Linked DNA regions of Caenorhabditis elegans. The protein of the gene in region 2 interacts with the protein of the main gene of each other region in a pairwise test. Each region holds a gene or a part of one and is shown on either strand. Other genes may lie near its edges.

Region 1 (5,954 bases), on a different chromosome or scaffold from region 2:
ACAGCATTTGGGTCCTGTCCTTCGTAGAGATCAACAGTCTGAAAACAATTGATGTCATAATGTGTTTAGTGAAAGGACAAACCTGGAAGAGTTCCGACTTTTGCACATACTCCTCAGCAAACTTCAGGAAGAAAGAGATGTTCTCCATTTTCTTGAATGCCATGGCAGATGTGTTGACCTTCTTGACGCTTCCTGGTTTCAAAGAATTGGCAAGAGTGCAGAGAAGACTTCCATCTTGAAAAACCTTGACCAAGTTGTCAGCGTCTCCTTGGGTGTCGAAAGATTGGCCAGTGACGTTCTGAAAAATGTTTCAAATCGTGAATCGAAGAAGGAGCATAACTTATTTGTATGATTTTCTTCGTTTGCAATGTAAACATATGACTTTGCCAAGAATCAATAAACGTTTGAAAAGTTTCACAAAATTACCTGAACCCATTGAAGAATTTCTCCGGCAAGATTCTTATCGTATTTCTCGTAGATTTTCTGCTGGGCCTCCAATGCAATTCCAGACTTTTCAGCGCGATCCGAAGAAGCGAAAGCGGACATTTTCTAGAACGAATAAGTTTGAAAGAAAAAAAGCGTATAGTTAACGACGAGAAAAAATATTTATAAACAAAAGAGGTTCTTCCACTCTCCGCTAACCAAAAATGGTGAAATTCTTCTGACTCATCGCAAAGTTTTGGTTCTCCGCCTACGTCTTGCGTTTTTGATAAGGAACATTTGATTGAACGGTGTTTGATAAAAAAGAATTGGAAGAGTTTAATCGAAAATAGCCCAAAAATAACAATTTAAGAGTGCTCTCGGGAGAAAACTGCCGGTTTGAATGAAGATATGAGAAATGTGCTCAGGAGCGCTCCTAAAATTCAGGCGGTCTTTTGTAGTTAAAGGAACATTCAAGAGGCAACAGTACCGGGTCCCATAGCGAAACAAAAGTTTGTGGTGATCGCTAGATTTTTGTGTTTGATTTTGAAAATACTGTTCTTTTTCTCCAACATTAAAAGAAGATGTTTTAAATAAAATTCAGCAAATTATTAATATTTCATTGTAAAAATAGATTTTTAGAACTTTCTCGAGCTCGAGGCACTCAAAATAAAGTTACTTTGGTTCTATGTCGCAATCTAAAAAGAGCGATAAAAAAATGAAAGCTACATAAGCATGGAAAAATTTTTCAAAAAGAGATTTTGCAGCTCAAATAAGAAAACTACGATCTAATATCCTGGTTTATAAAAAACATAAAACTAATGAAAGAAAACGAAAACTACTTCTTGAAAGAAATATTACCGGTACAGAGAGTGTAGATAGTTAGAGAGTGACAGACATCCGGGACCCAATGGGGCGGGCGCGCGGAAGAGACGATTTGTGTCGATTTACGAAATGATGACAACGAGGAAAATTTCGTAAATCGGCACAAATCGTCTCTTCCGCGCGTCCCGCCCCATTGGGTCCCGGATGTCTGTCACTCTCTAACTATCTACACTCTCTGTACCGGTAATAGGACACTTTGCAAACATGCATACAAACACGCCAATGACCCTTTTCTAATTAAAAACGCAAAACCACTTTTCAAGAGTCGACCGATCGGAAAAGGTGGCGATCGACAACACACTCCTCACAACATGATGACGAAAACCTTGAAAAGGAATAGAAAAAAACAAGGACGAATGGTGAGCGGCTCGTTTAGGTTGAATGCATTTGAAAAATATGAAAACGAGAGTCGATATGGGAATTCTCAATAAAACATTTGAAAGTCCGAATAGGAGAGGTTCACAAACCAAATGAGGGGAGAAACGAACCGTCTGTTGGTTTTTTTTGTTTCGAACACACAGTTGTGTTTGTCCTTTGCATTAGCTGGTATGACGAGAACTTTGAACTTTGGCGTTGAATAATTGCTACTGCAACACGTATTGTACTGGTGTATTTTAATCGCACAATTACTCTGAAACATTTTTTATTCTTAGAAAACAAATAAATAGAAATCGAAGTACAAAAAATTGGGATTTTCAGGAATGTGCAAGCTTTTTCAGTTCTTTCGCTTTTTTGTTGCAGGTCTCTCAAAAACTGGTCTGGATCCTCCGGCTCTTTTCGTGGAGAATTGAGAATTCAACTGATTCGTTGATGCCCAAACACCTTGATGATCTGTTGTATCTTCTTCTGTCAAGTGCGTATACTTGGTTCGAGATGCTTTTCCAAAGTTTTTGACCTGAAATAAATAATTTAGTTCAATTATCACTATAATAAGTTACGAGTATTTACCTGCATAACTTTCGGCAGAATAGTTTTATCAAATTGATCATCGTTGGTAGCTTCGGCAAAGTTTCTCTTGAGTACTTCATCTTCTTCATCCAAGAAGAAAGCTCCACGATGGAAATATTTTTGAAGGAACTTGTATTTTCCTTTGTCCTGTTTGTTAGTGATAACCTTTGGATTTAAACGAAGATATTTGAGTCGTTCTTCCTCGGACATTGCGTGAATCTTGTCAAGTTCTGCCTTCTCGCGTGCGGCTTCTTCACGTTCGTCACGGTTTCTCTGCAAAAAAAAATTGGATATCGGATATTATAGTGAGAATTTTTTTGAGAAATTTCTATGTCAATTTATTAAAAAACTCAAAAAAAAAACTTCGAAGATCTACATTCAAAATTTTGCAGCAAAAATTTACCTTCAATCGTTTCATTTCTCTGAGCTTCCACGCCTCATATGCCATATTTTCAGTTTCATCGTCGGTTAGAACAGATGACAAATCAACACGATCTTCTGTTTTTCTTTTCTCAGCAGCTTCTTCCTCTTGAAGAACCTTTTCAACTAATTTTGCACTTTCTCTCTTCCGTTCTTCAGCTCTTTTTTCGTCTTCGATCTTTTTCAGAATTTCTTTTTCTTTCTCCTTCTCGGCTTCTTGCAAAGTGATACGATCCTTCTTTCTTGTGAAAATAGGCTTCAATCTTGGAACTGGATCGTCATCTTCATCTGAATCTTCCTCTTCACTACTTTCTTCTTCTTCCTCCTCTTCAACATCATCTTCTTCAAGTTCTTCTTTAATTTCTCGTTTTATTTCTTCCTCTCTTTTAATAGCTCTATCTCTGAGCATTTGACGTCTTCTTTCAAAATCTTCTTCATCTGATTCAGCACTGTCTTCTTGTTCTTCATCTTTTTCTCTGTTATTTTCATGTAATTCCAATCTTCTCATTCTGGCTCTTTCTCTTCTCTCTTCTTGTTTCTCTTCGTCTTCTTCAGATTCCTGTTCATTTTCAGATGATTCGTCCTCTACTTTTCCAAGAACTTCTGGCTTCTCCACCTGTCGTCGTCTACCATAATCTTCGTGTCTTCTGTGGCGTCTTCTATCTTCTTCATCACTACTTTCACGACGTCTACGTCTTCTTCGATCATCATCTCGATCTGTCTCTCGGTCTGATTCACTGCTGTCACTGTCGTAGTTACGAGCATATTCTGGTCTGAAAATCAATGTTTTAAAGACTAATTCAACCATTAAACGAAAAAAAACTTACGCCTTTCCAGCCACATATCTTGAAACTTTCACTTTCTGCATAACAGTTTGTCCTTTCTCATTTTTGATTGGAATGGCTCCAAGAGTCGGAAGACGCGAATGTCCGAAACTTCGATTATCGCTTTCGCGTTGTTCAAATCCAGGTACATAATCTCCCATTCTGAAAGTTATTTTTAAAATTAACCCTTTTTAATTTCGGCAAAAAATAGTCAGAAACAATAAAGAGTAAATATGTAAAATTTTTAATTGAATTTTTCGAAAAAAATAATAAGCATTAAATTGCTCGTAAGTTATAATGCATAAAGAGTACCTCACGTGGTGTATGCAGACCCAACAGCACATCTTACGACAGTCTCGTTTACGAAAATATTTTCAAATATCAATTTTGGCCAAATTTTCTTGCTAAACGCTCATTTTTTTCTTTTTTTTTTACTCAAAACGTTTTTCAGAATGTTCCGTAAACCAAAGGCAAAAGGTGCTATTCGCCAACGGAAATCTGACGGATGGGATGAACCTGATGCTGAAAACCAACAAGTAGTCTCGGCTATCGAAGTGAGTTTTAATGAATTTCAACATTCTTTTTAATTTAATTTTTATTTAAAGGTCAAACAACCTGCTGTGCCTCGTCCAGCCATGAGTTTCGATGCTGATGAAGGAGCTGATTCGACGTTCAAACTTAAGAAAGACAAGAAAAAAGTTGAAGAATTGAAACGTCAACACAAACTAGAGGAGGAAGCTGAAAAATTATATAAGGAAGAGAAAATTCGTAAGGAAGCGCTTGATAAAATTGTGAAAAAGGAGAAACTCTCAAAAGAAGACAAAAAGACGAAAAATGAGCGGCATAAATACCTTGACAAATATCGTGACAAATCTGCTAAGCACATTTCGAATTCGGAGAGCTACGAATACGAAGAAAATTTGGATATTGATGCAGAAGCAATTTCATCAGTTTCCAATAAATTCAATTCTGCTTTTGAAGGTATTCCCGACTCTCGTGCCGTTTTCGAAGCAAAAAAACGCCGAGAACGAGCCAGAAGAGAGGGAAATCAAGACGGATATATTCCTTTGGATGACACACAAAAACTTAAATCTAAAAGTGAACGAAATCGATTGATTCGAGAAGATGAGAATGATGATTCGGATGAAGAGTGTACAAATAAATTCTATTCGGCTCGTGAGCTACTTCGAACAGAAGAAGATCGTCGTAGAGAAGAACAAGAAGGATTTTTAGAACGAGAAAATGGAGATATTGATGAAGCTGAACGAATAAAAGGTGATGATGATAGTGAAAATGAGGAATGGGAAAAACAACAAATTCGGAAAGCTGTTAGTCGGAGAGAGGTGAGCTTTTTGTGGTAATAGAGATCGTGAATCTGAAAATTTAAAAATTATAGATAGGCCAACTGCGAACAGAAAAACGAAATACTTCTAAATTATTTGGGCATACAGTTCCTGTTGAAGATGACACAGCAATGGATATGGATATTGATCTTGATATGGATGTTCAAGTAATTGGAAAACCGGAATTTACTGGTATATTATTTTGTTTGAAGACAAATAATTTTAATTAATTTCAGGACCATCAAATACCGGAGGAGTTGTAAAAATTGAAGATATTCTTGCTAAATTAAAATTGCGGATTCAAGAACGAGATGAAGCATTGAATTTCAGAAAAGAAGAAAAACGAAAATTGGAGCAAAATATTGAAGAAAACAAATCAATGATTGCAAAGGTAACAAGTATTTCAATAATTATATATATATATCATTTTTTAATAATTTCAGATTGAAATGGAGCTTCCTAACCAAAGTACCAAATACACAATGTATCAAGAATTACGAGTGTATTCCCGTAGTCTTTTAGAATGTCTGAATGAAAAAGTTGGCGAAATTAATTCGATTATCGATAAGAAAAGAGATTGTGGGAAATCCAGGACTTCAAGACTCTCGGTACGTAGAAGACAAGACATGAGGGATCAACATGCAGAATGTATGCAGGGAAGAAATGCAAGAATGGGTGAGGCCGCTGGAAGAGCAGCAGAACGTGACGCCAGAAGGTACGTATTTTTTTGAAATAGTTTAATTGACAGGTCTGTGGGAAATCTGTCAATATCAATATCTGTGCTTTCTAAAAATAATCATAGCTGAAAATGATGGGTCTCGGCACGAATTTTTTTTACGAATTCAGAAAGTTTATAAATTCTAAAACTTTCCGAAAATGTAGAACAAATATTTATGGGATTATTCAAGTAATGTAGCAAAATGTATTTAAGTACATTTGTGACGTCACAAATGTATTTAAATACATGTTTTTATCTACTTGAATAAGGTGACGTAATTTTTCTACACTTTTTAATTTTCCGACATTACTTGAATAACCCCATTAATTATACTTTCAACCAACTAATTAAAATTTAAATATAGTCCCTTTAGTTTGAGTTCTGTTTTTATTTTCT
Region 2 (6,778 bases):
ACCATTGGTGATAAGACGGCTTCTGGAACAGTTTCAGGGGCTTCTGCTGGTGGTGGTGGAGGAATCGAATCGGGTGATGAATCTGAAGAAGAAGAAGAAGAGCTGGAGGAAGAGCTGGAAGAGGAGGAAGAAGAAATTGAGGAATAAGGTGAGATTTTCCAGAAAATTGAGCTGAAAATTCGAATTTCCCGCGATTTTTCGGGAAAAAATGATCAACAAATCGTGATTTCAAGCCAAATTTCACCTTTTTTAGGCCGGAAATCAATTTCCCCGAAATTTTTCGTTAAAATTTGGTGTTTGCGGGCTTCTGGAGCTACAGTAACCTTATGGACAATCGAAAATTCAAAATTTCCACAATTTTCCGTAGAATTCGGTGTTTGCAGACTTCTGAAGCTACCGTAACCCTTATGAAAATTGAAAATTCAAATTTCCCGCAATTTTTCGTAGAATTCGGTGTTTGCGGACTTCCGGAGCTACCGTAACCCTCTTGACAATGGAAAATTCAAATTTCCCGCAATTTTTCGTGAAATTTGGTGTTTGCGGACTTCTGAAGCTACCGTAACCCTTATAAAAATTGAAAATTCAAATTTCTCGCATTTTTTCGTAGAATTCGGTGTTTGCGGACTTCTGAAGCTACCGTAATCCTTATGAAAATTGAAAATTCAAATTTCCTGCAATTTTACGTAAAATTCGGTGTTTGCGGACTTATGGCGCTACCGTAACCTTCGAAAAATTCAAATCATTAAAAAAAAGCTGCTACAGTAACCCGTAATTTTCCGTAAAATTCGGTGTTTGCGTACTATTGGCGCTACCGTAACCCTTTGAAACAGCCAATTTTTACTGAAAAAAAAAGCGGGTTTCGCAATAAATCCCCCCTTCCCAGCAGCTTATCACACTCCGCAGATCTGATAGAAATCGAAAAGTGTGAAGAGACAGAGATCTATGACGCAACTGTTGTGGGGAAATCCGAAAAAAGCGGAATTCAAGGACATTTTGGGAATTTATAGCCGAAAATTTCGATTTTTTCCAATTTTTATGGGTTAGTGTAGCCCCAAAAATACGCAAAAACACAAATTACAGCTGAAAATTTGGATTTTTCGCTGGAAAAGTGCCAAATTTGCACCTAAAAATCCAGTTTTTGGGCCATTTTTCCTCCTGAAAATTCAATTTTTCAACTAAAAACCGAGCTTACAAGTGATTTTTATCCTGGCAATTCATTTTTTTTCGTCTAGAAAATCAATTTTCCAGCTGTTTTCTACAGTAAAACCTGGTTTTCCGAAGCTTTCCCCCTCGAAAAATGAGCTTTTAAGGGGGAAAAGCTGTAATTTTCGTCTGGAAAATCGATTTTCTAGCAGTTTTCCCCCCGGGAAATTGGCATTTTGAGTGATTTTCAAGCCAAAAAACTGGGCTTCTGCTGTAATTTTTGTAGTTTTTTGACTTTTCCGCGGTTTTTCTAGTGGAATCTCAATTTTCCAGTAGGTTTCCTACCTTAAAATTGCAATTTTGAGTGATTTTTTGACCCTAAAAGGTTGATTTTTCACTGAAATTGTCAATTTTCAGCCTTTTTTTCAGCTAAAAATCGAATTTTGAATCGTTTCCAGCTGAAAAATCAAAGTTTTTACCCATTTCTCTGTCTGAAAATCGTTTTTCCACTCCAACTTTGACATTACACTAAACTTTTGTGGTGAAACGCAGAGAAAATACGTAAAATATTGAATTTTTCAATGTGATAACGGTCTCTTATCAGCCGAAAAACGTACATTTTGACGTAGTTTTTGAAAAAAATCAGTTGAAAATTGGGGTATTCCTCATTGATTTTCTCGCGTGTTTTTGTGCTCAAAATTGCTCATTTTGCTCGAAAATTGAGCATTTTTTACACTTTTGGAGCTGAAAATTCTCTGAAAATGGCTCCAGGAGCTCAAAAATTGACTTTTACAGCTGAAAATAGTCTTCAAATTTCAATTTCAATGACTATTTTTCCGAATTTTTGAGCTCGCAGAGCCCAAAACCTTCAGGAAAATTGAAAATTTCCTTGAAAATTCCACAAAAAAGTAAATTTCGACACAAAAATTTCTAGAAAAAGTAGTTTTTATAGCTGAAAATCGTCTTAAAAATTCGATTTTTAGACTATTTTTCCAAATTTTTAAAAACTCTAGGAGCCCAAAAAGAGCCCAAAAACCCCCATTTTCTCTCTAATTTTCCCAAAATTTTTCAGATTCCTCACTGCCTGCGCCTCCGCCTACCTACCTACACACATCAATCTCTCCTCCAAATAACCAGTTCTCTTATCAAATTGTTACTTTTTTTGTCTGTTTTTCCGCCTGTTTTTTGATGATTATCGATTGAAAATCGGCCGATTTTCACCTTTTTTTCACCCAAAATTTGTTGATTTTTTCATTGTTATTTTCCTTTTATTTTCCTTTTATTTTTATTGTTTTCTAATTTTTTTTGCAATTTTTTGCAATTTTTCTCCCCCCAAAAAACGTGAACTTTTTTATCAAAAATATTCAACTTTTTTCTTTTTTTTTTCTCTCAAAAAATCTGGTCAACCAAGCCCAGTTTAAATATTTTATTTCGATTTTTCCATCTCTTTCAAAATGACGATTTTTCGCTGGATTTTTGGATATTTTTTCGGATTTTGCAGTGGGTTTTGTAGCCACAGCTTTTTCAAATTTAAAACCAGAAATAAAGCGATATTTTCCAGGCACCGCTGGCCGTATCAAGGCGGGAAACGAGAAGGAAGTCGAGTTTAAGAAACGAAAAATCGTCAAAAATCAGCCGAGAAATCAGGAAAATCAGCCGAAAATGGAGCCCAACACAATGCTTGCACATAGTGAGTTTGGAGGCGCGAAAAATCGATAATTTGCGTGAAAAATCGATCATTTCAGTGAAAAATCGATAACATGCGTGAACAATCAATAATTTGCGTGAAAAATCGATAATTTCAATAAAAAATCGATAATTTCAATAAAAAAATCGTTAATTTCAGTTAAAAATCGATAATTTTATTGAGAAATCGATAATTTTAATTAAAATCGACTATTTGCGTGAAAAATCGATAATTTTGATTGGAAAATCGATAATTTCTGTGAAAAATCGATAATTTTCAGTGAAAAAATCGATAATTTCAACTGATATTATCGATTTTTCGTTGAAAATTATCAATTTTTAATCAAAATTATCGATTTTATCATTGGAGCGCACTGGCTGTCCCGCGAAAATTCAAAACAATTACAGTAACCGCCGCCCGTGGCCTCTACATGAAGAACAAGTCATCACTGGACGCCTACGCTACAGTAACCCTACAAGGAAAAGGATCATTGCGGAGTCGATGTTCGACGGATGTACTGAATACAGAAGGAGAATGTCGTTGGGATGAAGTTTGTGAATTGTGAGTAGTGGCTGCTCCGAATGGAAAATGAGCTCGAAATTCGGATTTCTCGTGATTTTTTATGTCGGGGACTGGATTTTCGGAAGATTTGGAGCTCCTGGAGCATTTTGGAACTTTAAAATTTGATTTTCCCGCAATTTTTCGTAAAATTCGGTGTTTGCGGACTTTTAGACCTACCGTAACCCTCTAGACAATCGAAAATTCAAATTTTCCGCAATTTTTCGTAAAATTCGGTGTTAGCGGACTTCTGGAGCTACCGTAACCCTTTAGACAATCGAAAATTCAAATTTTCCGCAGTTTTTCGTAGAATTCGATGTTTGCGGACTTCCCGACCTACCGTAACCCTTCTAAAAATCGAAAATTTATATTTTCCGCAATTTTTCGTAAAATTCGGTGTTTGCGGACTTCTGGAGCTACAGTAACCCTTTAAACAATCGAAAATTCAAATTTCCCGCAATTTTTCGTAAAATTCGGTGTTTGCGGACTTTTAGACCTACCGTAACCCTCTAGACAATCGAAAATTCAAATTTTCCGCAATTTTTCGTAAAATTCGGTGTTTGCGGACTTCTGGAGCTACCGTAACCCTTTAGACAATCGAAAATTCGGTACTAGTCTGAAATCACCCCGCCACTTTTTTTAATCATTTTAATATTATCCATTTTAATAAAACGTGATGTCCATTTTCCATCTTTAGGCTTAGAAATGGTTATTTCCTAAGCCTAAAAATACAACAACTCCACACGTTTTTATTTGAAAATTTATTTAAATTTAAAGAAAAAAAAGTGGCGGGGTGATTTCAGACTACTACCGAAAATTCAAATTTTCCGCAATTTTCCGTAAAATTCGGTGTTTGCGGACTTCTGCAGCTACCGTAACCCAGTCGAAAACGAAAATTTTGTAGAAAATTCGCAATATTTCCAATTTTCCAGCAAACTCTCGGACAAGTTCAACTCGGTGGTGGTTGCAGTTCACGCCAAGGCAAAGCTCGGTACAAATGAGCTCATCGGCCGCTGTGAGCTCGAACTCGAGAATGCAAAGATGCTCCACGGACAAACGAATTGGCTCCGCCTTAAAAAGAAGACAAACGACGAGAAATATCGAGGAGAAGTACAGATTAAGCTCGAGTTCAACTACGAGAAGCCATCGATGAGTGTTAGCTCATTGTCGTTAAATCAGATTGGAAATGAGCAAGAAAGTGAGGAAATTCACGTCGGAAATGCTCGCGGAGCATCTTAAAAGCCGGGAAAATGTCGGCTCTGAGAGCCCAAATAGTGTTTGCGTAATCCTGGAGCTACCGTAACCCTCGAAATTCGATTTTCTGTGAAAATTTCGAATTTCGCGGGTTACGGTAGGTCGAGAAGTACGTAAACACCCATTTTTTCGGTCGAGATTTGAATTTTCAGCGGAAAAATTCATAAAAGCGTTCAAAAATCGATATTTGCGGGCTTTTCAGTCAACCGTAACCCGCGAAATTCAAATTTTTGAAAAAAATGGAGTTTCGCGGGTTACGGTAGCTTCAGAAGTACGCAAACACCCATTTTTCGGTCGAGTTTTGAATTTTCAGCGTAAAATCGATGAAATGACTTAAGATTTGGTCTTTGCGGAATTTTCACTCTACCGTAACCCTCGAAAATAAAATTTCTCGGAAAATTTGAATTTCTCGGGTTACGGTAGCTCCAGAAGTACGCAAACACCCATTTTTCGGTCGAGATTTGAATTTTCAGCGGAAAATTCATAAAATTGCTCGAAATGTGCTCTTGCGGGATTTTCAGTCTACCGTAACCCAAACATTCAAAATTTCTGTAAAAATTCGAATTTCTCGGGTTACGGTTGCTTGGAAAGTACGAAAAACCCCATTTTGCCGGTCGAATTTTGAATTTTCAATCAAAAAGTTCGAAAATTGCATCAAATTTGGTCTTTGCGTACTTCTGGACTTACCGTAACCCAAAAATTACAAATTTCTGTACAAATTTGAATTTTGCGGGTTACTGTAGCTTCAGAAGACGCAACCACCAATTTTCTCGGTCGAATTTTGAATTTTCAGCTTAGAATTCATAAAATCGCTCAAAATTTGGTCTTTGCGGGCTTTTCAGTCTACCGTAACCCTCGAAATTCGAATTTTCATAGAAATTTGGAATTTCGCGGGTTACTGTACCTCCAGAAGTCCGCAAACACTGAATTTTACGACAATTTTCAGTTTTTTCATTAAAATTTTGCCCATTTTTCAGAGTCTTCCAGTGGTGGCGGTGGCCTAATGTCGAAAATGAAGCGAAAAATCACACAAGCCAAAAATGGACACAAAAAGGCCGAAGATACAATGTCAATGGCCTCTGCGTGGTCCGCTACGAGCAAAAAATCGACAATTTCCACAAAATCTGGCAAATTTTTCGGCAAAATTGGCTCCAAACTGGGCCTAAAGGATAAGGAGAAGCCGCTGCCAGTTGGAACATTCCTCACGCCGATGGATAATCATTTGGATGGAGGAGGAAATGATTATGACTCGACGGGACGGGGAACTAGCCGGAATTCTAGGTACTAGAATTGCGTGGAAAAATGAGAAGAAATGGACAAATTGGAGGTTTTTGAGTGAAAAAATGGGATTTTTCGACCATTTTGAGCATGAAATCGGATAAAATTGGAAAATCTTGAGATTTTCAGGTCAAATTTGGCTCTTTTTTGAACTTATTTGCTCTAAAATGAAAATCGAGGCAAAATTGCAATTTTTCCCGCAATTTTTCGTAGACTTCGGTGTTTGCGGACTTCTGGAGCTACCGTAATCACGGCCTCCTGCGCGTGAAATGCGCCAAGCGCACGAAGAAAGCGACGCGCTGTGACTTCTCTGCGTCTCCACTCTCTCGCGCGTGACGATAGAGCTCATTTGAAGTGCGTGTTTCAAAGACGGGAGACAGTGCAAATTTTAAAATAAAAATATGAAAAATGAAATGAGACGGTTTTTTCCAGCATTTTGACTACCCAACGAGATTTTACGGTTCACTCTGAAGAAATTTTTATTTCGTTATTATTTCCCTCATACTAAGCGGCTCTGAAATTTTTTCTAATTTTTTTTGTTGTTTTTATATGAAGTCAATATCAAGAAGCATTATTCAATGACAAAAAATATCAAAAAATTAAAATCTTGTTTTTAAACATAGTATGCCCGTTTTTGGCAGGACGATATGGCTGGTATGGGCCAAGAGAGAAAAAAGTAAAAATCTTTTCTCACCGACTTTTAGAGAATTTTGAGCTTATTTTATTTTGACCACAAGCATTAATATCTGTTGAAAACTGACGTAGTTTTCTAACTAGGGAACCGTCACAAGGTGCCACTCGCTTTTTGGACGAAACATGTTTCATGTGAAAGCCCATGTTGAGAAACGGTAAAATGTA

Evidence for each region.
Region 1: the proteins of rfip-2 (region 2) and mfap-1 interact in a two-hybrid assay, tested with the Caenorhabditis elegans proteins (one study listed by BioGRID).

The regions. Positions count from the first base shown.
Region 1 is NC_003279.8:8,636,578-8,642,531, forward strand, and holds mfap-1 (Microfibrillar-associated protein 1), read right to left. Parts: upstream 3,660-5,954; 5' UTR 3,659-3,659; coding exon 3,501-3,658; intron 3,447-3,500; coding exon 2,657-3,446; intron 2,527-2,656; coding exon 2,254-2,526; intron 2,201-2,253; coding exon 2,021-2,200; 3' UTR 1,937-2,020; downstream 1-1,936. Other genes in the region: cpn-1 (Calponin-homology (CH) domain-containing protein), read right to left, coding at 1-38, 83-298, 427-546; mog-7 (GCF C-terminal domain-containing protein), read left to right, coding at 3,950-4,051, 4,103-4,840, 4,894-5,032, 5,077-5,231, 5,284-5,555. UniProt on the Caenorhabditis elegans protein: Involved in pre-mRNA splicing.
Region 2 is NC_003280.10:721,191-727,968, forward strand, and holds the start of rfip-2 (FIP-RBD domain-containing protein), read left to right. Parts: upstream 1-2,597; coding exon 2,598-2,643; intron 2,644-2,704; coding exon 2,705-2,833; intron 2,834-3,237; coding exon 3,238-3,391; intron 3,392-4,320; coding exon 4,321-4,586; intron 4,587-5,619; coding exon 5,620-5,923; intron 5,924-6,778. Other genes in the region: T02H6.1 (WD_REPEATS_REGION domain-containing protein), read left to right, coding at 1-147.